3 linked regions of the Saccharomyces cerevisiae S288C genome follow. The protein of the gene in region 3 interacts with the protein of the main gene of each other region in a biochemical or structural test. Each region holds a gene or a part of one and is shown on either strand. Other genes may lie near its edges.

The links.
Region 1: of the proteins of SMK1 (region 3) and ISC10, one has a biochemical effect on the other in vitro, tested with the Saccharomyces cerevisiae proteins (3 studies listed by BioGRID, with this or other methods).
Region 2: of the proteins of SMK1 (region 3) and CAK1, one has a biochemical effect on the other in vitro, tested with the Saccharomyces cerevisiae proteins (one study listed by BioGRID).

Annotation. Positions count from the first base shown.
Region 1 is NC_001137.3:548,809-560,262, reverse strand, and holds ISC10 (Isc10p), read left to right. Parts: upstream 1-9,735; coding exon 9,736-10,539; downstream 10,540-11,454. Other genes in the region: PUG1 (Pug1p), read right to left, coding at 1-809; TOG1 (Tog1p), read left to right, coding at 1,583-3,967; FAU1 (5-formyltetrahydrofolate cyclo-ligase), read left to right, coding at 6,294-6,929; FMP10 (Fmp10p), read right to left, coding at 7,004-7,738; YER181C (uncharacterized protein), read left to right, coding at 8,467-8,790; SLO1 (Slo1p), read left to right, coding at 9,141-9,398; recombinase DMC1, read right to left, coding at 10,746-11,454. UniProt on the Saccharomyces cerevisiae protein: Indispensable for spore formation.
Region 2 is NC_001138.5:76,876-88,965, forward strand, and holds CAK1 (cyclin-dependent protein kinase-activating kinase CAK1), read right to left. Parts: upstream 2,287-12,090; coding exon 1,180-2,286; downstream 1-1,179. Other genes in the region: AGX1 (alanine--glyoxylate transaminase), read left to right, coding at 1-1,113; putative ATP-binding cassette family ATPase CAF16, read right to left, coding at 2,469-3,338; GTPase-activating protein GYP8, read right to left, coding at 3,544-5,037; alpha-factor pheromone receptor STE2, read left to right, coding at 5,705-7,000; BST1 (Bst1p), read right to left, coding at 7,270-10,359; EPL1 (Epl1p), read right to left, coding at 10,972-12,090.
Region 3 is NC_001148.4:664,381-667,946, forward strand, and holds SMK1 (mitogen-activated protein kinase SMK1), read left to right. Parts: upstream 1-1,899; coding exon 1,900-3,066; downstream 3,067-3,566. Other genes in the region: autophagy protein ATG11, read right to left, coding at 1-293; peptide alpha-N-acetyltransferase MAK3, read left to right, coding at 580-1,110; NHP6A (high-mobility group nucleosome-binding protein), read right to left, coding at 1,313-1,594; YPR053C (uncharacterized protein), read right to left, coding at 1,408-1,863; exocyst subunit SEC8, read left to right, coding at 3,296-3,566. UniProt on the Saccharomyces cerevisiae protein: Required for spore wall assembly. Required for proper deposition of the two outer layers of the spore wall, the chitosan and dityrosine layers. Negatively regulates GSC2, an alternate catalytic subunit of the 1,3-beta-glucan synthase (GS).

The sequences.
Region 1 (11,454 bases), on a different chromosome or scaffold from region 3:
AAGACATATATGAAATACTCATGAGAGATTATATAGCCATTGAATCCCTGAATAAATTCAACTATTCGGACAATTGAACGTAGTAGGATCAACATACTGCTTAATAATAGGGTAGCATTCACAAAGATCCACTTTCTGGAAATATCTTCGTAAAATAAGCATCTCCTTTTAACATTTACTGTGAATCTTATCTCATTGATAATGAAAAATCCAAAAAAAATTACCTGTACAAAAAGACCCGCAGTTATGAGTCCTGAACCAGTCTTCGTTGATCCTGCCTTAGACATTAGTCCGCCACCTGCAGCTTGTAAAAAGAAACTAAACACATCTCCCACAACAAAGAAAGTCGTACCAAAGCGTGCAGAAATCAAAATTAAAGATTGGCACCTCATAACATGTAATAACCTTCCAAAAATCATATAAATCGTCGCAGCTATTAGTGCTGGAGCGACTAATAAAAGAACAGATTGGATAATATATGGGGTCGTTCTTTCAGGATTGGAACTGGATAGAGCCCTCCCGATATACCCGACAGCTTCCATGATGCAGCCAGTGAAGAAAGGTATAAACGCAAAAACTGTGGGTGTGATTTTTAGTTGCTTGTATTCAGCATCCTCAAGACTATCGACCTTATCATCAGATGACTCAAATGGATTATTTTTCAATGCCTTAGAAGATTTTCTCGCAGCATATAAAGTTTGAACGGCAAAAATGACTGTCATTATAATGAAGAGTACGACAAATACGATTGCAGCCGCTTTACTTGGCGTATAGTGGTAAAGTACGAACCCCGAATCAGTTGTGGACATTTTGGAACGTTGATGGACAATAAAAGATTAAGTAGCTATGTAATTGGACACTATTAACCTACTATCCTGGACATTTTGAGGCAAGAGACTATACATCCCACAATTGATTCGGTAGGTGCTTTTATACTGATTCATTTGAGGTCTTGGCATTTGTTCAATTGAAGTACATTTAGTTGAAAAGTTGAGATTTATTTAGGATGAGCTTGCCGCGGCATGGGGAAAGAAACACTTCATCCTGTATGGAGAAAAACCACTTTGCCGCGGCACATCAAAACAGGGCTGAAACCTTCAGTATGCGCGATACCATTACACGACAATCGCATGGCTTAGTCATAATAGATCGAGGCGCTCATATACATGGCAGCCACAATATTTGAAGGTCGACAAATAAGGACAATATCAACGGTTAGGATACCGAAACTTGAATATGGCTGGTTTCTCAGGAACAGCCGATACTGTCCTGATCTTAACTTAAGGTGCGGTGAAGTAACCTGGATTCAACGCTGCATGAAAGACCTGATTAGGCTTATTTGATAATCCAACAAAAAAAGTGATTGGTTGGTTTGCTAGTATTCAAAAATAACTATTTTGGAGTACTTTGTTTGTTTGAAAGGCTGGGTAATAATTTTTTTGATGTGTGCTTTGAACAGTAAAAACTTTCTTCCTTTCTATAAGCTAGAAGCAAATCCAAATCTCATCGAATAAGCGCATTAGGTTAACGACATTATTGTTGTTTAAATTTTAAGCTTTTTAGCTTTTTATATTTTATTGAGATGGCAGCAAAAAGAGGATTAGCCAAACAAAAATCTAGGGTAACCAAGGCCTGTGATAGATGCCATAGGAAAAAGATTAAGTGCAACAGTAAGAAGCCATGTTTTGGGTGTATTGGGTCTCAATCAAAATGTACGTATAGAAATCAATTTCGTGAACCGATTGAGGCTTTTTTCAATTATACTGGTAGTCTCAGTAATGATTTGGATAATGCTAAGTGCAGCATAGCAAAATTGAAGGCACAGTTACCTCCAAGCGCACCGGCCTCTTTACAGAAAGGCCTAGCAAACATTTGCACTGAGCTTGAAAAAATACAACCTCAGCTTTACCTCAATCTGGACAGTAAGGAAATTAGCTCGTATGGTGGCCTGAAATCGATAGAAACAGAAATTATCGGGAAACAGTCAAAATCTTTGAATAGGTTCTCCAACGCTTTTGAAAGCAATACTGCACAAAATGTCAGTATGTACTTTGGGGTCTATTCACCGTTGCTATATTTTGCCTCTACGGGTATTAGCTGGATAACTAAAAAATTGATTTCATGTTCGAATGATAGGGAGACGAGAGAAACTATCTATTTATTTTTGAAGTTTCTTGACGCTAGCTCTGCTAGCCATGCTGGTCCTAAAGTAACTTCGATATCTCCTTTAGAGTATTATTCAAAGCTAAACGGACTTTCATGTGGGAACGACGTACTTATTCAACACATTATGTCAAATATATCGAATGAAATCAAAGGAAATACAAACATTAACCAAACAATCAAATTCAATAAACCAACAGACTGGTTTATGTACGGAGTACAATTGATGGAACAGCACCACAAGGCGTTGGATCGTAAAAGTTCCAAAAAATTACTTCCTTTGAAATATTTTCTTGAGCAAGATGAGTTGATTTTTTGTCTCTGTCTTGAATATTTTGAAAGATCCCTATTTTCGACAATGTACGACTTGACTATTTTAAAGGGCTTAGTCTCGTTGATGAAACACAGATATTGGATAGACGATCCTTTTGTGCTGGGAAGAATTATTTCCACGATGTCCAGGCGAAGTTTGGATGCTGGTTTGAATCGTTGGGAATATTATATTGGTCAGGATGAGGACACTGCCGAAGAATATCGTAAGTTATGGTGGGACTGCTACTGGTGGGATAGATGGTATTCATTGGTCACCGGTAAGCAGCCATTGATACCACATGAAATGACTTCGTGTCTCTTTCCCAAGGATGTGGTTGGATTAGGGGTAGATGATTCGATGGACTGTTTTACTTTAATAAACTTGGTGGAGCTCGACCCAAGTAAGTTTGATATTTGTATCTCTTTCGGCTATATTCTATTAACGAAAATTATTACAGCGGTATTCTCTGGTTTGCTTTATAATCGACACTTTACAGACTACAGATTATTTGCAACTCCTAACGCTAAAGACCTAAATGGAACCGCACGACAGCTTATGGTAGAGTTTTCAAAAATATGTAAAATTTTTCAGTGCATACAAGACAAACTAATCCCTTTCCTCAAACAATATTCTGAAAATAGTAATGTATTTGAACTATACACCCATTTCGGATTTGCAAAGGTTTGTTGTTTTCAGGGAATGGAGAGTTTAATTTTAAGGATACAAAATCTTCTACAAGAAAGAGAGAGAATTGAACTTGATTCCTGCGTAAAGGACATCAGGCTTCAAACCTTTGAAGCATCTGTAGATATTTTGACGGATGTTCTCAAGCACGAAGATACGTTCTATATTTTCCGTTGTTCGTGGTTCATATATGCCATCTTGATGAATATTACCTTGAATTTTATCGAGACCCCTAGAAGGAACTCGATATGTTATTTATCCTTGATGTGCCGCATGATAGCCTCATATAATGACTTATTTGTGAGCTCTGGCAATGTTAATTTCAAGGGCAACAACGCCTTCTCTAAAAAGTTGGAAAATGGAACAGCGGTTTCTTTCATCCTAACACGCATCTGCTGTCAGATGTACACACGTTCACAGAAAATGGCTAAGGAATCGCTGTTTTGTGAATTGAAAAAATATGGCCAGGCTTGCTCAGATGCTGGTCAAGCTGCGTTGGACATTGAATGTATCTGGTACAGGAATATTATAGGCGAACACAAAGAATCAAGCTTCCGTAAAGAAATTCTCAGCATTCTTGATAGGGAAATGGGTGATTTGGTGAATAATAGAGTTATTGGCGTACAGGGAAAAAATCAAGAAGGTGCTTGTTATGAGAAGTTGTCACCCAGCAGCACCAGTGTTTCAGTTGGCATGGACTTTTGTAGCCTCGAAAATTTTGTGACTGCAGAATCTCTACCAGACCTTCTCAATCTATTTTGGGAGGACACTGAATTTGGTATTACTAAAGAAAACCTCGGAGAGTAAAAACCAAGTATGCACCTAAACAATTGATCACTTTCAATTAGGAAATAAAATCCCTTGATTTAGACGAATACTGTAGAATGCAATAAAAGGTTTTGTGATTCTAATCTAGTCCCTTACGTTATGCACCGCTTTCAGGAAGGTTATGGGCTGTACCATGAAATCAAAGGTGGCTCATAACTAGTAAGTAAAAGTAAATGTCCTTTTTTTATGCAAGATCTAGAACGATTCGAGTATGGTGTTGATACCACTGTGGTAAGTCTTTCAAGCTACACGCAATTACACACACTCACAAATCTAGTTGTATTTACTCCTTTTATTGTTGCTAGTCTAATTATTCGTCCCACGATTTTATCGTTCTTTGAGTATTTCGGGTCTCAAAAGATTGCTAAATGAAATAACTCTTAAAAATTGCTTCACATAGTCTTGTTGTTACATTCACAATTCACAGCTTTCCGTTGCTCATCGCTTGATAGGAATATATTATGATAGGGATTATCCTGAAAGTTTCAGCAAAACGATAATTACTTCAGCTTTTCTTCGTCTATTTAACCTAGTTTTCCGTCATAAATCCGTTCTCTTAAAAGCACACCTACTCCACTTTCTGAAATAACATAGATATTGAATTTGACTTAGATTCATATATTAGAAAAATCGAATAGTTTCCTGTGCCTAGAAATTCTAAGGTGCCATTCCAGAGGATTTTTATGACAAAGATGAGATGTAAGAATCAACTTTTTTTAATATTTTATATCTTTCATCAAAGAAACATCACAATGTATATTACAAAGTGGAGAAGCATCCAAAATATAGCTGCAGTGAGAATTCATTGAACTGTATCAACTGGGTGGAAAATGTCACAGTCACTTATGGAATTCTATGATTTTATTCAATAGAAAACATTTAGTAAAGCTGGTAACCGACCTTTTTTTTTTACACATTTTTTTTTTTTTTGCTGATTATACCTTGCATTCTAACACCGGGTTCTGATGTTATCACCTACTTTGTATCTCGCATCATTCTTTATTTGGTAGACACGTCCCAAAATGGAGGATGCGCACTAACGAAAATGAAGGATAATGCAGTGAGAATGATAATTTTGATATTGATAGGATCAATTGAAAGCATATCACATGTTTTTTGTGAAATGTTGTATAAGAGATAGCGCTCTTGTTGGGTTTCGATAGGGGGAATGTGGAGTATCTGATGTAACACTGTAGTCTTATTTCTTGTCATAAAGAGGGACTGATTGGGGTGAGGCATATTATATTATAGGAAAAATTGCAGAATATCTAGGTAGTAGTCGCTTCAATAAATTTTTTTCCGACACAAGAATAATGAGACAAATCGGACTATATTTGACGATTAAATAAACCCAAAGCACCCCTATGCTATATGGGGGAACTTTAGAGTAAACAAGGTTGAAATACGTCAATTTGTAATTTCATAAAATACGTGAGGTCTTTTTGTGAGAGATACTTGCCCATTTAGATTTTTGTCCATATCGTGATAATTTTTTTGAGTTTTAATTAATGTGCTCCACCATCACAGAGTGTGTACCAGTGCAACCCACTCAGGGATATGCTTTAAGTCATATATTCTCGCTCTATGGGAACCATAAGCTGGACACATTTCTTGAGGTTATTTAGTAGCGAAAAATGGCGCAATGTTACTCTTTCACTTCTATTATATGGGGCTACAATGCCAATAAGGATTAATGGGTAGCGATTGTGGTTTCTTACCTTTGTGTAGTTGCGTAGGCTTTTTAGTGTATCAGTGAGCAAATTTAGTCCAAAAAGATCGCCAGCGAAGACTGTCGTATCTGGATCATTCGTAGTATCGATAGCTTAGCGATATTCTCGAGGATGTAAAGACAGCAGATTGGAGTTCTGATAATTTTTCATTACTTTTCAGTGAGAGAGTGCCTTTCTCGTTTTATATCTCAATCCTACCCGTAGAACTGGTCTGCTATTCTCATTTATCATTTTATTTCAAAAAAACCTTCAGGAGACAAACTGATTCCATCAAAGGCCTGTTTGCTATCTAGGACAATATTCGAGCTTAGTAAGTCACTTCCTGAAAACCATTCTGCTTGCGAGCCCGAAGCTTTGTGGCAATCAGTCTTCCACATCTGTTTGCAAGGGTGTTTTATTTCATGTCGTGAGAGATTTGTGATTAAAGCTGTTTTTATTAATCAGTTAGCAGCTTCATTCTCTTGAAGGATATATATAATTTTCTCAGATTTCTTCCGAATAATATTTAATCATTGAAATGGCAAAAATAAAAATTACTGTCAGCTACGCTATCTTTATATAGCTACAAAAAATTAATGGCCACTAAGCAATTACTGAGACGTCAAATCAAAAGGGTAATAAATGCTCTTGACTACGATATTATCGCTGCAGAGTCGCATACTATTTCTCAAGCAGTACGCTCATTGATCGCTTCCGCCAATTCTAGGCGTGTAGCGTGTTATATGAGCATGGATAAAGGAGAAGTAACGACTGGAGAAATCATTAAGAATTTATTTCAAGATGGCCAGGAGGTCTTTCTGCCAAGATGTACTCATACTTCTGAATCGAAACACTTCAAATTACGGGAAGATCATCATCCACATTTAATATTCCATCGAATGAGTAGTTTGAAAATGGTTCGTGATTTGAAGCCTCAAGGTCCATATCAACTAAAAGAGCCTGAACCGCATATTGAGGAATCAGATATTCTAGATGTCGTATTGGTGCCTGGAGTGGCGTTTGATATTAAAACTGGTGCAAGGATGGGTCACGGTGCTGGGTATTATGACGATTTTTTCCAACGGTATAAGATACTGCATGAAGGCCAAAAGCCCCTCCTAGTTGGACTATGTCTTATGGAACAGGTGGCCTCTCCAATTCCTTTAGAAAAACATGATTATTCCATGGATTGTATAGTATGCGGAGATGGATCCATACATTGGTTTCAATAATTTCATATATGTATTATTTACATGGTACAGCTATTGTATAAATAAATAAATAAATAAATAAGTAGACGGCAAATCTATTTTTCTTCTTTTGGATTCCCTTGTTCGCTAGAAAACGTGGCATTAGCTTTGACCAATGTCCTGTTGCCACTTTGGTCCATAAGTTCAGCCTTTAATTTAGTTTTGTTACCGTATTGCTGAAGATCGGTGGTTCTTACTACAACAAATTGATTAGCTAACGTGGGGAACTTGTACGAGATACTCAAATTCTTGGTTTCTTGGTTTATATTTTTTGTTCCTTTTTCGAGTCTAATGGCCTCCTTCATTAAATCTTCAATAACTGTTGCTAAAATGCCTCCGTGAATTAAGAAAGGATAACCAGTAAGTTTCATTCCTAAATGGTATAGCCCGACAGTTTCACGCCTACTGGGGTTGTAGTAAACTCTTGGTGGTATAGCGACGCCACCTGGTGTATTTAATGCCCTTGACACTAACAAGTTCTCCTCTTCATTAGCAATCACTTGTACAAAACCAGCATTCTCCAACTGTTTTACTATGGGTAGGCCATTTAAACGTCTATTCAGATCAGCGTGATATTTGACGACTTCATCTGCGTTCTTGGGTAGGGCATCATATCTCCAATAAGCTAGTAAGTCCGTGAACGTCATATGCTGTGTCAAGTACCACCCTCCAAGAAAACTTCCCCCAAAAATTGTCCATGGAATCCATCTTCTTTTGGGTTTAGAGGCTGTCTTGAAAACAACGCCATTTGTATACGTTCTTATCTGGGCTATTGCGATTCTTTTAAACATCTTGGCCTTGCTGGTACGGTCTCTTTCTCTTCCTTACTTTTCTTAGTTTCTTTATAAACTCTTTGTGCACTTTGTGAGTTTGTTCCTTTTCTGCCAAGGGGTATGCCTCATCGAAAATTAATCAATCTTTAAATAAGGTATTATGTTAAATAAATGAAATGTAAAATGTGTCGCTAATGGAGTACTTAGAGACATTTTTGGAAATCAGTTTTGTGAAATATTAGAAAGAATTCCTTTTGTTTATTTGCTCAGAGTACAACATCTCAAGACTTTTATTCCTGTTGCAAACCAATGTTCACGTACGGTGACCCAAAATGATGGCAGTCATAATCAAATCTAATGGAAGTTGAAATCAAGAAACGATAATGTAATAGGATTGTAAATTACAACTTACAAAGCAAAAGAAGTAATAATAATATGCTATTTAGAATTGCCGATTCTCTTTTATTGATTCCTGTATCTTTTGAGGAGAACTTCTAGTATATGTCTAATGTCGTTTTACTAGAAATGGGACCCCTGAAAATCGTCAGCAACTTTCAACTGAATCTGAGAATGATGCTCAAGTCGTCATTTTATCTTGCAGAAGCTAAGTGCAGGAGTTGATAATACAGCAGAATTAAAAGTGACAACGCAAGAAACAAAAACAAATGCAATCTCAATATTATGTGAAATTGATGATTTCGTAGCGAATCATGCGCACTGTGGGAGAAGCCTGGGTATAATTATGTATGCTAATACTGTTACGTTTATCTGAGGTTTGTGTGAATTTTGTGATAATTATCGGGATTCCATTGTTGATAGAGGCTTCAATACTATGTATACAGAACATACTAGAACTTCTCCTCAAGGGTATAGGGATCCTCAAATTTAATCGGTATTTGCATACAATAATATTACGATTATTTTTCCTATCGTTTTATATGCTTCATTTTCCCATTACATTATCAATTCTTGCATTTCAGCTTCCATTAAACTTGCTAACTCTTTCTCAAGCTTCATTTCATCTTCCTAGATCTCATATGATACTATACCAGCAGCAAGAATGCTACTAAATGGATGATATTCTAGAGTTTCATTTCATCATCTACACGAAGGGATGGGGGCATCTGAAGTATTTGAAACGTTGCTATGATTTCATAATTTATGCAGGTTTAACACAGATTACAGGTCTCTTGGCCCAGTTGGTTAAGGCACCGTGCTAATAACGCGGGGATCAGCGGTTCGATCCCGCTAGAGACCAATTTTTTTGAAAATCGTAAAAAGGCCCAAAAGGGAGAGCACAGCACGTTCTGCTTAAAAAAATAAAAAATGATGTCTTCAATAAAACATCTTAAGGACCAGTTTGTAGATCTGCGAAGTTGTTGACTAGATAAATTATAATAGCAAACAAACAAATAGGACAATGTCAGCGGAGAACATTAGTACTGGCTCGCCGACGGGCAAGCAGCCATCCTCTGAAGTTAATCTTGGCGAAAGAGAAGCTGGAACAAAAAATGAGAGGATGATGCGCCAAACCAAACTTCTGAAGGATACATTAGACTTGTTGTGGAATAAAACCTTAGAGCAGCAAGAGGTGTGTGAGCAACTAAAGCAAGAAAATGATTATCTAGAAGATTACATTGGCAATTTGATGAGATCCAGTAATGTGTTGGAAAAATAACTTTTCAACGTAGGTTTCTGTTTTAAATAGGTAGATCAGTCAAACGGATGCGTCGCATAAATGGCTGATAAATTTTTCCACTACTCGTTTTCTCTTTTTCTGAGTTTCTATATTTTGCGCCTGTTTTACAAAGAAACCAGTATGGTTTGATCCCATGGGCGATGCCACAAAGAAGCTATAGAGAAAAAATGTTAAAATATTCGAAAAAGCTTCGAAAGATTTTATTGCGGTCACTCATGATCATAAAAAAAACCCTTCTCGCATTTGTAACATTGTATTTTAGTTTCTACTTCTTGTAGCAGGCCCTGAAGTATAGATTCTCAGACACAGTGACAAAATGGATGTCGATGAGAGGTTGCATCAAGATGAAAATCAAACCCACCCTTTTTCGCAAAAGAAGTCAAGCAGTTTCTTGATAAAGGAAAAAGCTGCTACAAAATCCAAGGATCTTGAACATATAAGGCTTCGTGACCTAAATTTCAATCATAGAAAAAAGCTAGATGACAAAAAATTGGCAAAGCAAATCCCAGTTAAGGCAAATTTCAAGAAGCCTAACGAAATTGAAGCTCGCGCTAACCTAAATTCAAATGAATTAACAGATATCAACCTTGACTATATACCGGATTCCCCATCTATAGAGAAAATATCAGGGCCTGAGGATTCTATTGTTGTAACGCCAAGAAATATCATACATTTACAATCTGATTCAGATATTATTCTCGAGGAATGCGAGCATAATTATGACTGTAGCCCTTTTTACCGTCTGTTCAACTACGAAAATAGAATTGAGCCCGATGACTACGAGGCTATTATAAACGCTATAATAACTGACGAAATTGCTGGCACATATCCGGTTTTCGAACGGGAATTAGAGTACCAAGAACTGAAAAGTCTTGTCAGAAAGCGAGATTATATTATGTATTATTTCTTGTCAAGGGATTATCGGGGGTTTTTTCAGTTGAAAGAGGAACGTACTTTATTTTATAGGTACCCTTCAATTGCGTACACTAGCCCGTTGAGGTATCTGGATAATGGATCTGAAACCGAGCAGTTTACCGGGGATGATGATGAGGAGCTCCAATCATTTGATTTTGAAAACACATCATCTGTGAGGACTTTAGATAGTAATATATGGCGTTAGGTAATGCTCAATTTTATATACGCATATGCACCATAGTAATTTAATATTTTTTTTCCGAATTACAACAATTATATTATAATATTCCTTTCTTTTGGAGCTGCTAAAACAAAGAATCATAACAAGATATTAATAATATTAGTAACACAAAGTAAAAGAAAAGTTTAATAAAGGAGCAATGTCATCTTCATTAAAAAAGTATACAAAAACTAGTCACTTGAATCGGTAATACCTTTTTCACCAATTACGTAGACACATTCTTTTTCAGGCATATCTGGGGAATCTTGTAACTTGGCAACTCTTTCGTCACCACGCCCTTTTCTCAACAAAATCCTTGTTGCTGACGCATGTGCCAGAACGTGCCCTCCAATTGGTTTCCTACCATCTGCCGAGGCAAATAATGCAGAAGCACCTGGGTCTGATTGAACTTGGTTTGTCAGAAATACTGCAACATTAAATTCCTCTGCCAATCTATTCAATTTGAAAAGATGTTGATTTAGCTTTTGCTGTCTTTCGCTTAGTTCACCTCTACCGCAGTAGTCTACTCTGAAGTTTGCCATTATAGAATCTACCACGATAAGGCGATAATCTCCAGAACTAAGTTCTTCACCCAATTGTTCAACAAGTTCCATTTGATGTTCACTATTCAAGGCTCTAGCATATGAAACGTTTGCCAAACATGACTCGGGATCCAATTCATAACCTTCTGCAATTTGCTTAATCCTCTCGGGCCTGAAAGTGCCTTCTGTATCAATATATGCTACTTTCCCTTCACCACCACCCATTTCCCTCGGAAGCTGCGTGGTAACACACAAAGTATGAGACATCTGTGTCTTACCACACCTAAATTCACCAAATACTTCAGTGATACTCATTGTCATTATTCCACCACCTAGGATTGAATCTAGTTGCTTAGAT
Region 2 (12,090 bases), on a different chromosome or scaffold from region 3:
CTAAGCGGAGCAGTCCAGAAGGCCCTGGACGTTCCCTCTTTGGGCCACACCTCTCCTGAGTTCGTCTCTATTTTTCAAAGGGTGCTAAAGAACACAAGAGCTGTCTTCAAATCCGCTGCTGCCTCGAAGTCTCAGCCTTTTGTGCTTGCCGGCTCTGGTACGTTGGGGTGGGACATATTTGCCTCGAACTTTATTCTTTCGAAGGCCCCCAACAAGAACGTGCTGGTCGTATCCACTGGGACATTTTCTGACAGGTTTGCTGACTGTCTGCGTAGCTACGGTGCGCAAGTAGATGTTGTTAGGCCCCTCAAGATAGGCGAATCAGTTCCCTTAGAACTGATTACTGAAAAGTTGTCGCAAAATAGCTATGGGGCTGTCACGGTTACGCACGTTGACACTTCAACGGCAGTGCTGTCCGATCTGAAAGCCATTTCGCAAGCGATTAAGCAGACTTCGCCGGAAACGTTCTTCGTAGTCGATGCTGTATGCTCGATTGGATGCGAAGAGTTTGAATTTGATGAATGGGGGGTGGATTTCGCCTTGACTGCTTCGCAAAAGGCTATTGGCGCTCCAGCGGGTCTTTCTATCTCGCTATGCAGTAGCAGATTCATGGATTATGCACTCAACGACAGCAAAAATGGTCATGTACATGGGTATTTTTCCTCGTTGAGAAGATGGACACCAATAATGGAAAATTATGAGGCTGGTAAAGGAGCTTATTTTGCAACCCCACCCGTACAACTAATTAATAGCCTTGATGTAGCCTTGAAAGAAATTCTCGAAGAGGGGTTGCATAAGAGATGGGATTTGCACCGTGAAATGAGTGATTGGTTTAAAGACAGTTTGGTTAATGGCTTGCAATTGACATCCGTCAGTAGGTATCCTTCTAACATGTCTGCGCACGGGTTGACAGCCGTATACGTAGCAGATCCTCCTGATGTCATTGCTTTTTTAAAGTCACACGGTGTAGTCATTGCCGGAGGTATTCACAAGGACATCGGACCCAAGTATATCCGTATTGGACATATGGGTGTGACCGCTTGCAACAAGAATTTACCGTACATGAAGAACTGCTTCGACTTAATAAAACTAGCTCTTCAGAGGAAAAAGTGATTACCCTCGTACTTTTCATTTCATATATATATATATATATATATATGTACCTATATATTCTTCTTATTATGGCTTTTCTAATTCTTGCAAGATTCTTTGACAGCTCCATCTTTCGTTTGGTGAAAATGAAACCATCCCCAGGATACAATTAATGAACTTCTGCTTGACTTTGACATCCGCAATCTCGTCCAGTCGAGGCATATTCCTCTCAACAATGCTAATCTGTACATCTTTCTCCTGGTCCAGTACATACTTGCCATCGCCATCTGCACCAAACATACCAACAAATGCATCAACCGAGCCGTGTTGCGCAACCTCTTCCCATTTCTGAATGGACGGTATGCCCAACTTTTCGAATATTGAGCAAATCAGTCTGAAATCGCTTCCATCTGAGTTCATGTCGTCGCTGCCGTCATCAATCATGGCCGGAACGTGCCCCATACGGCTTGTTTCTCTCTGGAACCACTGAGAAATAATTATCAACAACGACCACACGTCCACGCCACCATCATAGCATTTTACTCCAAAAAGCACTTCTGGGGCCTTGTAAATTCCTGTGCTTATATCCGTCACCTTGCTATCCATGGGTTCCGCACTTGTTTGTGAGTTATTTGCCATGTCATAAGAGATGCCAAAATCAATTATGTACAACTTTGGGGATACGGTGCTGGTATTGTTTGTTAGCATGATATTTTGCGGTTTGATGTCGCGGTGAATGATCTTGTTCTCATGTAAGAATGCAATCCCTTCAACCATTTGCCGGAAAAAGGACAAAGAATACCGATTGACGTCCAATTGATTAGTATATTTCTGAACGGGGGGGTCCGCAACAATTGGGATACTGGGATTTAGCAAATCGTAATAGGGATTTTTTTTTCTTCTATCTCTTTTATAGTGCATTTGCATGAACTCATAAAGGTTCATCTCTTCAAAGGGAAACAACAACAATAGGTCATTATTATCGGTAGCCTTAGACTCTAGAAGAGGTAAGATGTGCTTACATTTGTTGCCCAGTTTGTTTAATATCGATACTTCGAATTTGGCGTTATGTGGCGGGATATCGAAATCTAGTGCTAGACATTTAATGGCATATGTATCCGACCTATAAATCCTAGCAGTTCTAGTAGATTTGACCAACTGACAGTGTGTAATGTCTATACTATCCAGTTTCATTAAGATGGGCGTGAATTTTGTTGCCTCTCTTCTTCATCTGGCCTCTTTGCTTCTATGAGACTTCTGTCGTTTTCCTTTTTTTAGGATCACAAACTACTTCTATAACTTAAATAGTCAAATCACATTTTCCACTAAGATACATATTTTCTATACAGGGGGTCTTTGCAGTTATATATACTCAGTTATATACCAATCTCTTTGTCAGGAATTTGATTATCACGTTTCAACCATTCTAGTGCTAATGGATGCAAACTATTCACTTTACTAATAACAACCTTATTGTTGTCATTTTCAAAGGCCACTTGTCCATTAACTTTAGCATTGACCACTTCAGAGAACTCTACGTCTTTCTGATAATCTAAATTATCCACAATCTTACCTGATTTCATATGGTATACTTGGTTAGGCCATTTGGCCAAGCCGTCAAAAATATGTGTAGCGTAGACCACTGAGCATCTTCTGGTTTCGGTCTCCCACTTTAAAAACTCCAGAAGTCTTGCTCTGGCAATAACATCGAGATCCACAGTGACCTCATCAAGTAGTAAAACTCTCCAAGGTTTCAAGAGCCCCATGGCTAACTGAACTCTTCTCTTTTGTCCATCACTTAACCTGTGCATTCTCCAACGTACATCGATGTCCAGGATTCTAACCAATCTTTCACCTCTTTCCCTAAAATGATCGAATCCAATACTTTTTAATAGTTCCAAGACGCCGATATCCCTATTAATGATACTCATATGGCACCATTCCGTACCTAGATAAGTGGTCGTTTGGTAGTTCGTCGAATCTTCAACACTTTCATCATCGTCCACTTGATTCATAGATAATGGACTGAATGGATCAAGACCATTGACCAGGATTTTTCCATCAAGGCAAAGATGCTTACCGCTTAGTAATTTCAAAAGGGTGGATTTACCAGCACCATTGGCACCCACAACTAAAGATCTTGTATTCCATGGGATTTGAAGATTGATATCAACAACTGACGGATCGGAGCTTTCTTTGAATTTGTACGTTAGGTTACGCACCTCAATAGCAAATTGGGAAACCATCTTGAGAGTTATCTAATATCTTGATATCTTATGCAGGAGTACTGGTTTTCTCCATACTAAAAATCTCTCTTTCAGAATTTTCGTTTTTTCTTATTTGAGTCATCCTCGAAGAAATTTCCGCAGCGAATTTTAAAGAAGCACTTTATAATAATACCTTACATATGAGTTTGTTTCTATGTCATGGGTATATAAGGTATATTGTATGCTATCTAGTTGGATGCCCCAGTTTCAAAATGTCCCTAATCGGATCCACCCAGATGTGACTAACGTGGTGCAAATTTATATTTATATGTGATAAGTCTTTCAACTTTGTGGAGATCATGTAACGTAGATTGAGTACTAAACTCAACGACCTTGTAGTCCGTAATTGGTACAGGATAGCTACAATCCCGATAAGTAAAGAAATTTTGCTCCACCTGTTATATTTGGAGGGTAAAAAATGGCCAAGTCTTTGGACCAACGCCCTTGTCTTGGATCTGGCGGCGACACCATGATACTTTTCTTCCTTGTAATGCTCGTTCATCTTTGTTTGTTCGCTCAAATAGAAGATAATGGTGCTCATATCGAAGCATCCTGGCTTTCCACATGCTGTATTGAGTAATGCACTATATTTATTAAGACTCACCCGTTTCAAAGCCTTCTTGCTGGCAGTAGTCGCATCTTTTCTAGTTATTTGCAAGACTTCTTCCCAAAGCGCCTCATCATACAGTTTTTTCTGTAAAACTGTTTGTATAGCACCATGGCGCAGGTCAAAATCGTTCTCGAAGAAATCAGAATTAGCTTCTATTTGCTTCGAAATTTCAGACGCATTTTGCAATAGCAGGTTCTTGTATATGATCAAAGGTAAACGCATAGATTGCATCGATATTGTCATGTCAAATATCTGGAAAAGAATTTTATGAAGATTGTTGTCACCGCTATCTATAGGTTTCAAATTATGTGCAAAGATTGTCAATATTGACCCAATAGCGAAAAGGGGCTCATTTTCGTCAAATTTGAATAGATTATAGAATTTCATGTTTGATTCCTTTATCAATGAAGAGATTACTCTCAATTGCTCAAATGAAAAATCTAGTGAGTTCATCATGAAATCCCTCAGATATAATAGGGTAAATGCTTCGATGCAATAAAACAGCCTTTCCATATCAATTTCTTCTTGCAATGAGAGATTTTCTAGTTCCAGTCCGTTCTCTTTTGTGACATTCCAACTAAAACACATGATGAAAACAGACACAATATCATGATAACCTTGGTAATAGTTCAACGTTGGGTACTTTCTCAATACCCGAGTAATTAACTCCACCAGTAGTTTTCTCAATTGCAGTTTCAAGTTTTTGTCGACAATTCCACCAAAAGACCTTTCTGCATCCAATATCACCTGACCTTCATCTTTATGTTTTTCCACTGGTGTAATGTACTCTGTTGCATCATCAATAAGCAACTGGGACGCCAATAATTCATACCAACAATCTTTTCTTAATGAGTTGTTTACAAACCCCAGAGGCCCTAAACCTATGTACCTCAAAGCTCGGACATCTTTTTTCTCTAATAACTTTGATATAACTTTTCCTTTTTGTTCTTCTGCCTTTCCACTGTCACAACGAGAAAGTGATTCCAGATATGCGTTATAACCTCCCCTTGTCAACGCGTCTTTGTCGTGGCTACTCTGATTAGTATGAAATAATGACCTTAATGGCATCGTATTTTGTTAATTGGCTTGTTCTATGTCATTTGCTAAATTTTCTCTTTATTTCTTTACTTTGCCAATTCAAGATAATCTTCCCTTCCCAGAGAGAAAAAAGGAAAAATTTAGCTATGAAACCTCAATAAGCTTTTTAATACACCAAAGATTCAAGATAAGAGCATAGAACGAACTGTAGAATAGTCCGGATATGTTATCCAATGCCTGCCAAAATGCATTGTCACACGCTGTAGTGCTCGAATAGGTGTTGCAATCCGTCAATATACGTCTTGCTCTGTGGGTAAATGTCTCGTGCATTAAGACAGGCTAGTATAAACGAGAAGAAGTATCCTGCTTTGCAATGAAACAATAGTATCCGCTAAGAATTTAAGCAGGCCAACGTCCATACTGCTTAGGACCTGTGCCTGGCAAGTCGCAGATTGAAGTTTTTTCAACCATGTAAATTTCCTAATTGGGTAAGTACATGATGAAACACATATGAAGAAAAAAGCTTTCCTACATATTCAAGATTTTTTTCTGTGGGTGGAATACTATTTAAGGAGTGCTATTAGTATCTTATTTGACTTCAAAGCAATACGATACCTTTTCTTTTCACCTGCTCTGGCTATAATTATAATTGGTTACTTAAAAATGCACCGTTAAGAACCATATCCAAGAATCAAAAATGTCTGATGCGGCTCCTTCATTGAGCAATCTATTTTATGATCCAACGTATAATCCTGGTCAAAGCACCATTAACTACACTTCCATATATGGGAATGGATCTACCATCACTTTCGATGAGTTGCAAGGTTTAGTTAACAGTACTGTTACTCAGGCCATTATGTTTGGTGTCAGATGTGGTGCAGCTGCTTTGACTTTGATTGTCATGTGGATGACATCGAGAAGCAGAAAAACGCCGATTTTCATTATCAACCAAGTTTCATTGTTTTTAATCATTTTGCATTCTGCACTCTATTTTAAATATTTACTGTCTAATTACTCTTCAGTGACTTACGCTCTCACCGGATTTCCTCAGTTCATCAGTAGAGGTGACGTTCATGTTTATGGTGCTACAAATATAATTCAAGTCCTTCTTGTGGCTTCTATTGAGACTTCACTGGTGTTTCAGATAAAAGTTATTTTCACAGGCGACAACTTCAAAAGGATAGGTTTGATGCTGACGTCGATATCTTTCACTTTAGGGATTGCTACAGTTACCATGTATTTTGTAAGCGCTGTTAAAGGTATGATTGTGACTTATAATGATGTTAGTGCCACCCAAGATAAATACTTCAATGCATCCACAATTTTACTTGCATCCTCAATAAACTTTATGTCATTTGTCCTGGTAGTTAAATTGATTTTAGCTATTAGATCAAGAAGATTCCTTGGTCTCAAGCAGTTCGATAGTTTCCATATTTTACTCATAATGTCATGTCAATCTTTGTTGGTTCCATCGATAATATTCATCCTCGCATACAGTTTGAAACCAAACCAGGGAACAGATGTCTTGACTACTGTTGCAACATTACTTGCTGTATTGTCTTTACCATTATCATCAATGTGGGCCACGGCTGCTAATAATGCATCCAAAACAAACACAATTACTTCAGACTTTACAACATCCACAGATAGGTTTTATCCAGGCACGCTGTCTAGCTTTCAAACTGATAGTATCAACAACGATGCTAAAAGCAGTCTCAGAAGTAGATTATATGACCTATATCCTAGAAGGAAGGAAACAACATCGGATAAACATTCGGAAAGAACTTTTGTTTCTGAGACTGCAGATGATATAGAGAAAAATCAGTTTTATCAGTTGCCCACACCTACGAGTTCAAAAAATACTAGGATAGGACCGTTTGCTGATGCAAGTTACAAAGAGGGAGAAGTTGAACCCGTCGACATGTACACTCCCGATACGGCAGCTGATGAGGAAGCCAGAAAGTTCTGGACTGAAGATAATAATAATTTATGATCAAAATTTACGGCTTTGAAAAAGTAATTTCGTGACCTTCGGTATAAGGTTACTACTAGATTCAGGTGCTCATCAGATGCACCACATTCTCTATAAAAAAAAATGGTATCTTTCTTATTTGATAATATTTAAACTCCTTTACATAATAAACATCTCGTAAGTAGTGGTAGAAACCACCTTTGCTTTTACGAGTTCAAGCTTTTTTCTTGCCATGATCTAGAACTCTCAGGCAATATATACAGTTAATCTTTTTTTACTGGGTTGTAGTTCTAATGTATTGTTTCGAAAAATAGCAACCAGGCACATATTATGTTCACCAAGTGGTGTATCCAGTACAGATTTCTTATTCCATAAATGAAACTGAAAACGGTTAAGTACACAAATAAAATGATGGTAACTTTACCATCCCACGTGTCTAAAGGTACGCTGTTTGGCATTTTGAAAATAGAATTATTTCCAACCAAAAAAATAATTGGTGCCACTGCTAGTATATTGTGATGGGATCTAAATGAAGTTTCCCATTTGATGGCAACATTATGCAGGAAAACAATAATGATAGGGATGTTAATGGCACTAACAAATAATAAAAGCAGAAGCAACGTCATATTATAATTTAGTAAGTTCAATTTCTGCTCGTTGTTTGATAGTTTCAACAGCGCTACTCTAATGCAGGTAGCAATTTGGATTACTAATGAGATAACAAACGCCATCTGGTATGGTATGTGAAAAAATACCAACAGTAATAAAAGCACAGATGCCATTAATCTTCCCTTACCATACGCTTTATGTTCAATAGTATCAAAAGCCTCTTTATCTTCAGTGTTTTTCTTTGATAACTTCCGTTGAAGGAATATTACTAAAATTTCCAAGGATCCAAAAATCTTAGAAACTAGTGCTAGTAATCCAACTGTCATAACCCCAAAGAGAATTCCAATAGTTGACATAAACCAATCTCTGATCCCCAAATAATAAAAATTTGCATGCATGTTTCTCTCGGATAGCAGAAATGGATAATTTAAACCGACAGGATCCAATAAATAAAGTATTCGTTGTACCAACTTATTATTAACCACAGGCGAAGCTAAGAACAGCGTAAAAAACATTAATATTCCGTGCTTTCTTAAAATATATCCCAAAGTGCTATCAAAGGAAGGAAACTCAGATGTCTTGTTGTACCAGTAGAACTGGTATGACAGTACGAGTGCTATAAACGCGACTGGAAAAGATGCTAGTGCTAATCTGTACCTGATAAACAGCATTTTCAAAGTTAAAGACCAATTAATAGTCATTTTAGCTTCTAAGGACATTCCGGGTGGAATAAAAAAACTTAATTGTAGCGATCTCGGTTCGCTTTCATTTAATGGGATAAACGGTGCTACATTATGCATATTTATATCGAGACTTTTGTTTATAATATTTAGATGCCATTTAGACTCGAAAGGTTCGTAAACCCATTGCCTTATGAAAGGCTGAAACAATGTCTCTTCGGAAGCAATACCTTCGTTGCTTGCCTCAATCTTGGTTTCTAATTTGTACGATAATAAAGAATCCCACAAATTACTGAAACTTATAACCTGCTCGATGTCTTTGCCATCCAAGTGTAGTTGTTCTCCAAAGAGCAATATTTGAGAAGGTGTAGTATTGACTATTTGTACATTGGAGACGTTGCGCAGTAATGCCAAAAGAAACCCCTGATTGTCCTCCATGCCTTCTTGTTCTGAAAATTCACCGTAAGTGGGTTTGCTTATCATCAAGTAGTCGTACTTCTGTAGTATATTCTTGCCAACACTAACGGCTTTAAACGGATTTTTTGCTTCTCCAAAAGAAGAATCAGCTGCGAACTGAGTATCTTTTGAAGACCTGGGCACTGTTAGAATACTATCAACAGCTGTTATACAGCTTAGATTCACCCTGGACTCTGTACAGAAATAGATCATAGGCATATCGAGACTAGTTAATAATGTGAAATGCAGGTGTTCAGTGGAGGAGATGTTACTCGGAATATTTATTTTTGTATAATTGTTGTGCCACTTTTCCAGGTTAAACATTTCAAAATCTAGGACATCGTTCATTTCCAAAGTAGCGTAATCAGAAAAGAAGTTGTCACTAAATTCTTGTAAGTTTTCTTGAGGATAATTTAACTTACTATTCATCCATGAGTAGTCTTCAAACCCTGAAAGCAATAGTTTTCTAGCGATTTGCAATCTCTGATTCAATGGCTTAACTTTTTCAGGTTTGGAGGCATCTATACTTTCCAATAAAAGGCGCGCTAGTACCTCTCTTAATTGCTTGCACCAAACAATGGCTAAATGATCAATTGGAGTCCAAACATCTGGAATAGTAGTTGTGAAGCTGGTGAACCCATTTTCTAAGCTAACCAAATCTTCTACAGATGCATAATCTGCAGGTAAAGTAGTATCCAATATACCGCCTGTAATGGAAACCAATGAAATGTTCTTAGAGAAAAAAGAATCGTTTTGGGATAACTGCTTTCTCCAATATTCGTTTGTATTTTTGTAAAGCTTTAAAATGTCACCATCAAAGGTTACTGGTGAAGCAGCATGAGGTGATGATAAGGTCAATATGGTGCTTATACTTCCCGGTACGTGGTTCTTCAAAGTTAGCATGACCCTGGATACAATACCGCCCATGGAATGTCCCACGATAATAACTGACTGCGGTTTTGGATGTGGGTAATCAGGGGTCCTTTCGTAAAGAGACAAGATGTACTTAATGGCATCATTTAGGTATTCAGCTTGATCAAGCATTGTTTCACCATGAAACGCAGTGAAATCTTCATTGAAATCTGCCGTAAAGAAGTCCAAATTTCGCACATTTTCGTTACGCAGAGTCGCCCTGGTATTGGAATCAAAATATATATTGGAGCAAGCGGAAGCAATCGATCTGCATTGCCTAAAAGAACCTGCATTTCCGGGTATAAAAAGTACAGGGATACCATCAAGTTGTAACTCATCACCATTTAAAGGTTCTCGGTCTACGCTTTGTTCTCGATACAAGTAAAGATGATACTTGTGTGCCAGTGGTGTATACCTCTCGTCAAATCCATCGATCCTTGCGTAAGATGGAAACATATAGATAGATTCACACTGAGGAGCATCTGCACCATTAAAAGGTTTCAGTAGCGATATCAATAAAAGCGAGCAAATGCTTAAAATGCCAAGAATAGAGAAAAGGCGATATGTGTAAGGTTTTTTTGCTATCTTATCATTGTTCATATATTTGGGGGAAGCTTTATCCTGGTCTTCACGCGTAGCGAGTACTCTCGAGTATTGACCAGATGAGTTAACTTTATTAATTATGGGCCGCGTTATAACACTAACTAATCTCCTGATACCCATAACGAAATGAAGATTTTTGTATGATGGTAAGCCTAAGATATAGGCCAATGCTTTAAAGTAGAGGGAGTATTTCGAGTGTGAATTTACTATCAGATGGAACTGCAAGGAATGTGTTGAGACTCATTTTTACTTTTTCTTGTTATGACTTGGTTGGTATATTTAGACCTTTTTCAAAATTCGCGCCATACAGGAAAAAAAAATGGATAATAAGAAGAAATGCATTTATTTGAGGGTACCTAGTGAGTTATGCAATTGTCTATATAAGAGTATGAATCTAACTTAAATACATCAAGCATTTGGGATGAAATCATGCGAAAAATCAAAAGGTCACAACCGTGTGAAATGGAAATTAAAAAAAACGTTAAAAATATGTAGTCTTGTGAAGGTGATAATATTACAGCCGGATGATACTTGCTATTTTTCTTTTGAAATTTATTGTAGTTATCTTTTTTTGTTTTTTGTTTTTTTTCATTATTATTGCGTTATCGGTGTTCATTTCGGTGATTTGAATCTTCAGTAATGTTGCCTCGACTTTCGTAGTAAACTTTGAATGTCAGGTTTGTTAAATGCCAATGCGTAGAAAGATGTTCGAGAGGTACAAAGTTGTGCTGCTCATGATGAATTTTTCTGGGTTATAGAAGAGTTCTGTTTCGCTTCTGAATTGATTAACGAATCATTTAATTTTTTTAGGGAGTTCGAAGAATTTGAATTATTGTTCTGTGATTTCTGCTTTTGTTGTTGTGCTTGCTGCTGTTGCTGCTGCTGCTGTTGTTGTTGCTGTTGTAAATGTTGTATATGCTTTTGTTTCAGTCTGGTGATATAGTCCCTACGATACTTTATGGTGGCTTCCCTTAATTGTTCGTAGGACTTCGTACCCAACATTGTTCCGAATCTAATCACCTGAGTATCATTTGAAATCTGGTTAAGTCTTGCCGGTTCATCTGAAAACTTGATCCCATATTCATTTTGTGGAGAATCATACTTCCACTTGTCGTAAAGTCTGACAAATTCGTCGTATTTGGAATCGTAAACATTAATCGAGTCAGTATCGTTACTACCTTCTCTTGAATATTGTTCTTTTTCGATTGAATCGAAATCTACAAAATCCATTAAAGAACATGCAGACTTGGTCGACGATGTTGTAAAATTTGGCATACGATCAACATACTTAATATTAGATCTACCAACTCTCTTCCTGAATTTTATTGGATACTCTCTCGAATGAATTTCCAAATTTTCTTGGAATGGGTCGTACAGTTCAGTTTTTTTGATTCTTTTGGTATCCAAGTTGTAATTATCTTTGTTTCTCGAACGGCCATTTGAATCATATATTCTGATGTCATCAGATATCCCCTTCAAGTATTCTGGTAAATGTGAAGAATAAAAAGATCTATCTATCTGAAACTTGGATGACGCGATAGATGCAAAGGGAACATTACTAGTCGAAAAATTTTTAGGCAACGACATGTCAAATACAGGATTAAAGGGATCGTCCGTTAAGTTGAAAAAGACATCTGCGTCTTCAATTTTCCGTTTCTCCATCTTTTCCTGAACGAACTTTCTTGCATTTTTTTCTTTGCTGTTCAATAGAGCATCCACGTCTTCCAATACAATGTCAGGAATTTTGGAAGATGGTAGTTTGACATAAACATGAGACGTAATTGGCTGTGATGTTGAAGAAGAGGATGCATTCGCGAGTTGCTTTCCGTTTTCAGTCTTAAGGGCATTTTG
Region 3 (3,566 bases):
AGTCGTCTGTCGTAAACGTAAAAATCATTTAGAGTAAAAGACCTATTAATAAGCAGCTCTTTAAACATCGACGGTTTTAGTTTGTTACCATAAGGTAGTAGAATCAGCAGCTGATCGGGAGGAATCTTCCATTTCCTAGCAATGAACTGTTTAAATTTGTCCAGGGAAACGAAAAAATCAACATTCGTAGTTATACATTCTCCAGATATTGCATTTATGATAGTGGCTGTTGTCTGCAGTGGTGTTATTTCTTGCTGGGTAGGTGCAGTGCTATATTCATCAGCGTCTGCCATGATGTATAAAAGAAAATAAAAGAAGTACTTTCCGAACAACAACAGTACACTAAAATAATCGTTGTTCAAAGGAGGACTACTTTGGTTCTGATTTGAGAAAATGGTACTCAAATAAGGGCATCGCTATTATATAGTTCCATTCCTACCAAGAAACCGGGTAGCCAAAAGCGATAAAAAGGCTCTCCATGGCAAGCCTTATTAAAAATAATAATCATGAAGAACAAAGTTTCACAAGAGATTACAAGATAAAAAAGCCACTACTACAGAAAAGGCGTTGGGTCAGGACATGGAAATAGTGTACAAGCCATTGGACATACGTAACGAAGAGCAGTTTGCTAGTATTAAAAAACTAATAGATGCGGATCTATCAGAGCCGTACTCGATATACGTATATAGGTATTTCTTGAACCAATGGCCCGAGTTAACGTACATTGCCGTTGACAACAAGAGTGGAACGCCTAACATACCCATTGGTTGCATAGTGTGTAAGATGGACCCGCATAGAAACGTGAGACTGAGAGGATATATAGGAATGCTAGCCGTAGAGTCCACATACCGCGGGCATGGCATAGCAAAGAAACTAGTGGAAATTGCCATAGATAAAATGCAAAGGGAACATTGCGATGAGATCATGTTAGAAACAGAGGTGGAAAATTCGGCGGCTCTAAACTTATATGAAGGAATGGGTTTCATCAGAATGAAACGGATGTTCCGCTACTACTTGAATGAAGGGGACGCCTTTAAACTGATATTGCCGTTGACTGAAAAGAGCTGCACTCGGTCTACGTTCCTAATGCATGGCCGGCTGGCCACATAAAAGGAAAAACACTCGATGATGATAAAATATATATTAATAATACAATTTTTTTATTTATTTATTTAATCATATGTATAGATATAGAAAAAGGGCAGTAGAGAAAAGAGGAATAGAAAGGAGAGAGATAATAAAGCAAGTTTCAAAAAGAACAAGAGGAAAAGAAATTAAATCACACAGACAAAAACGCGGGGAGGAAGTATCCCTAAGCCAAAGTGGCGTTATATAACTCCTTTTCGGATTCATATCTCTTCTTATCGGCCTGGGCCTTGGCCTCGTAAGGCTGCTTTTCCTCTGGCGTTAGAGCCTTCCACTTCTCACCCAACTTCTTGCCGACTTGTCCAAATGTGATATCTGGATTTTCAGAACGAACAATATCTCTGTTTTCGTTAGCGAAAAACATGTAGGCGGACAAAGCCCTCTTAGGGGCATTTGGGTCCTTCTTCTTTCTAGTGGTTCTCTTCTTAGGTTCTCTTGGGGTGACCATTGCGACTGTGCTTTACTATGTATAGGGTAGTCAATTGAGCAAAAACAGGAAAAAAACACGTCCCAAAACAGTCCTTCTTTAACAGTCGGTACCAGTAATAAATACTGTGTTGTTTGTTTGCCCACCGCTAAATAAACGAACGGCGAAAAAAATAGGCGGCAAAAGGCGGGTGATTCGAAAAGTATCGCGCGCGACGAGGCGTGAGGGTAGAATTCGGCGCCACTAATTTGTGACACTTGAACAGTATTTAACGTCGTGCGATACATCATATCGATAGAAATGTAGACGTGCTCAACGCTCCAAGAATGAATTGCACACTTACAGATAATACCAGAGCCATAAATGTGGCCTCCAACCTCGGTGCTCCTCAACAGAGGACGATTTTTGCCAAGGAGAGAATATCCATCCCAGGATACTACGAGATAATCCAATTCCTGGGCAAGGGAGCCTATGGGACAGTGTGCTCAGTGAAGTTTAAGGGTCGAAGCCCAGCTGCTAGGATAGCGGTAAAGAAGATCAGCAACATCTTTAATAAGGAGATCCTTTTGAAAAGGGCCATCCGTGAGCTAAAATTCATGAACTTCTTCAAGGGCCATAAAAATATTGTAAATCTAATCGATCTAGAGATAGTGACCAGCTCGCCCTATGACGGACTGTATTGCTACCAGGAACTGATTGATTATGATTTGGCAAAAGTCATACATTCGTCCGTGCAGCTCTCGGAGTTTCATATCAAATACTTTCTTTACCAAATCCTGTGTGGGCTAAAGTACATACACAGTGCAGATGTCATCCACCGAGATTTGAAGCCTGGGAACATATTGTGCACATTGAATGGCTGTTTGAAGATCTGCGATTTTGGTCTCGCTAGGGGTATTCATGCCGGATTTTTCAAGTGTCATTCCACTGTGCAGCCCCATATAACCAACTACGTTGCTACAAGATGGTATAGGGCGCCTGAGCTGCTTCTTTCCAACCAACCGTATAGTAAGTCCGTAGACATATGGGCTGTAGGGTGCATTCTTGCAGAATTCTATGCTCGAAAGCCTGTTTTCATGGGGCGTGACTCCATGCACCAGATATTTGAAATCATCAAAGTCTTGGGTACTCCTGATAAAGATATTCTGATCAAGTTTGGCACCATTAAAGCTTGGAATCTAGGCAAAAACAGTAATAACCCTGTATATAAAAAAATCCCATGGTCCAACATTTTCCCCTTTGCCTCGCATGAAGCAATCAATCTCATAGAGTCATTACTTCATTGGGACTCAACACATAGGTTAAACGTGGAACAAGCTATATCACATCCGTTCCTAAACGAGGTGCGGAAGCCAGACGACGAGCCTGTTTGCCTTCAGGGTCCTTTCGACTTCACCTATGAATCCGAGTTGAATTCAATGTCCAAATTAAGAGACTACTTGGTTGAAGAAGTGAAAAATTTCAAAACCGATTTGTCCTCCTCGTCTTTATAGTAACCACTACACAAATAGGTATATCATGAAGTTATATTCTGACCGTAACAATTCTTCTTTCTTTGACGTAAACTTTATGGCGGGTAACGCTCAAATAGTTTCTTGTTAACCATTTCAAATAACAATAAGTATACAACTAAACAAAGTCTGCTACTTGTTAAATATAGGAGTATAAACAAGATAAGCTTGCTACTTTTTCAGCACAACCGCCACCTCTCGATTGCATACAATGGATTACCTAAAACCAGCGCAGAAGGGGAGAAGACGTGGTCTTTCCATAAACAGTCTTTCGGAGACTCAGCAATCTGCTATGAATAGTTCCCTGGACCATCTTCAGAATGACTTAAACAGGATAAATCTTCAATGGAATAGAATACTGTCGGATAACACTAATCCCTTAGAACTAGCGCTCGCATTTTTGGATGATACATCTGTAGGTCTGGGCCACCGGTATGAAGAATTCAATCAATTAAAGTCACAAATTGGTAGTCACTTACAAG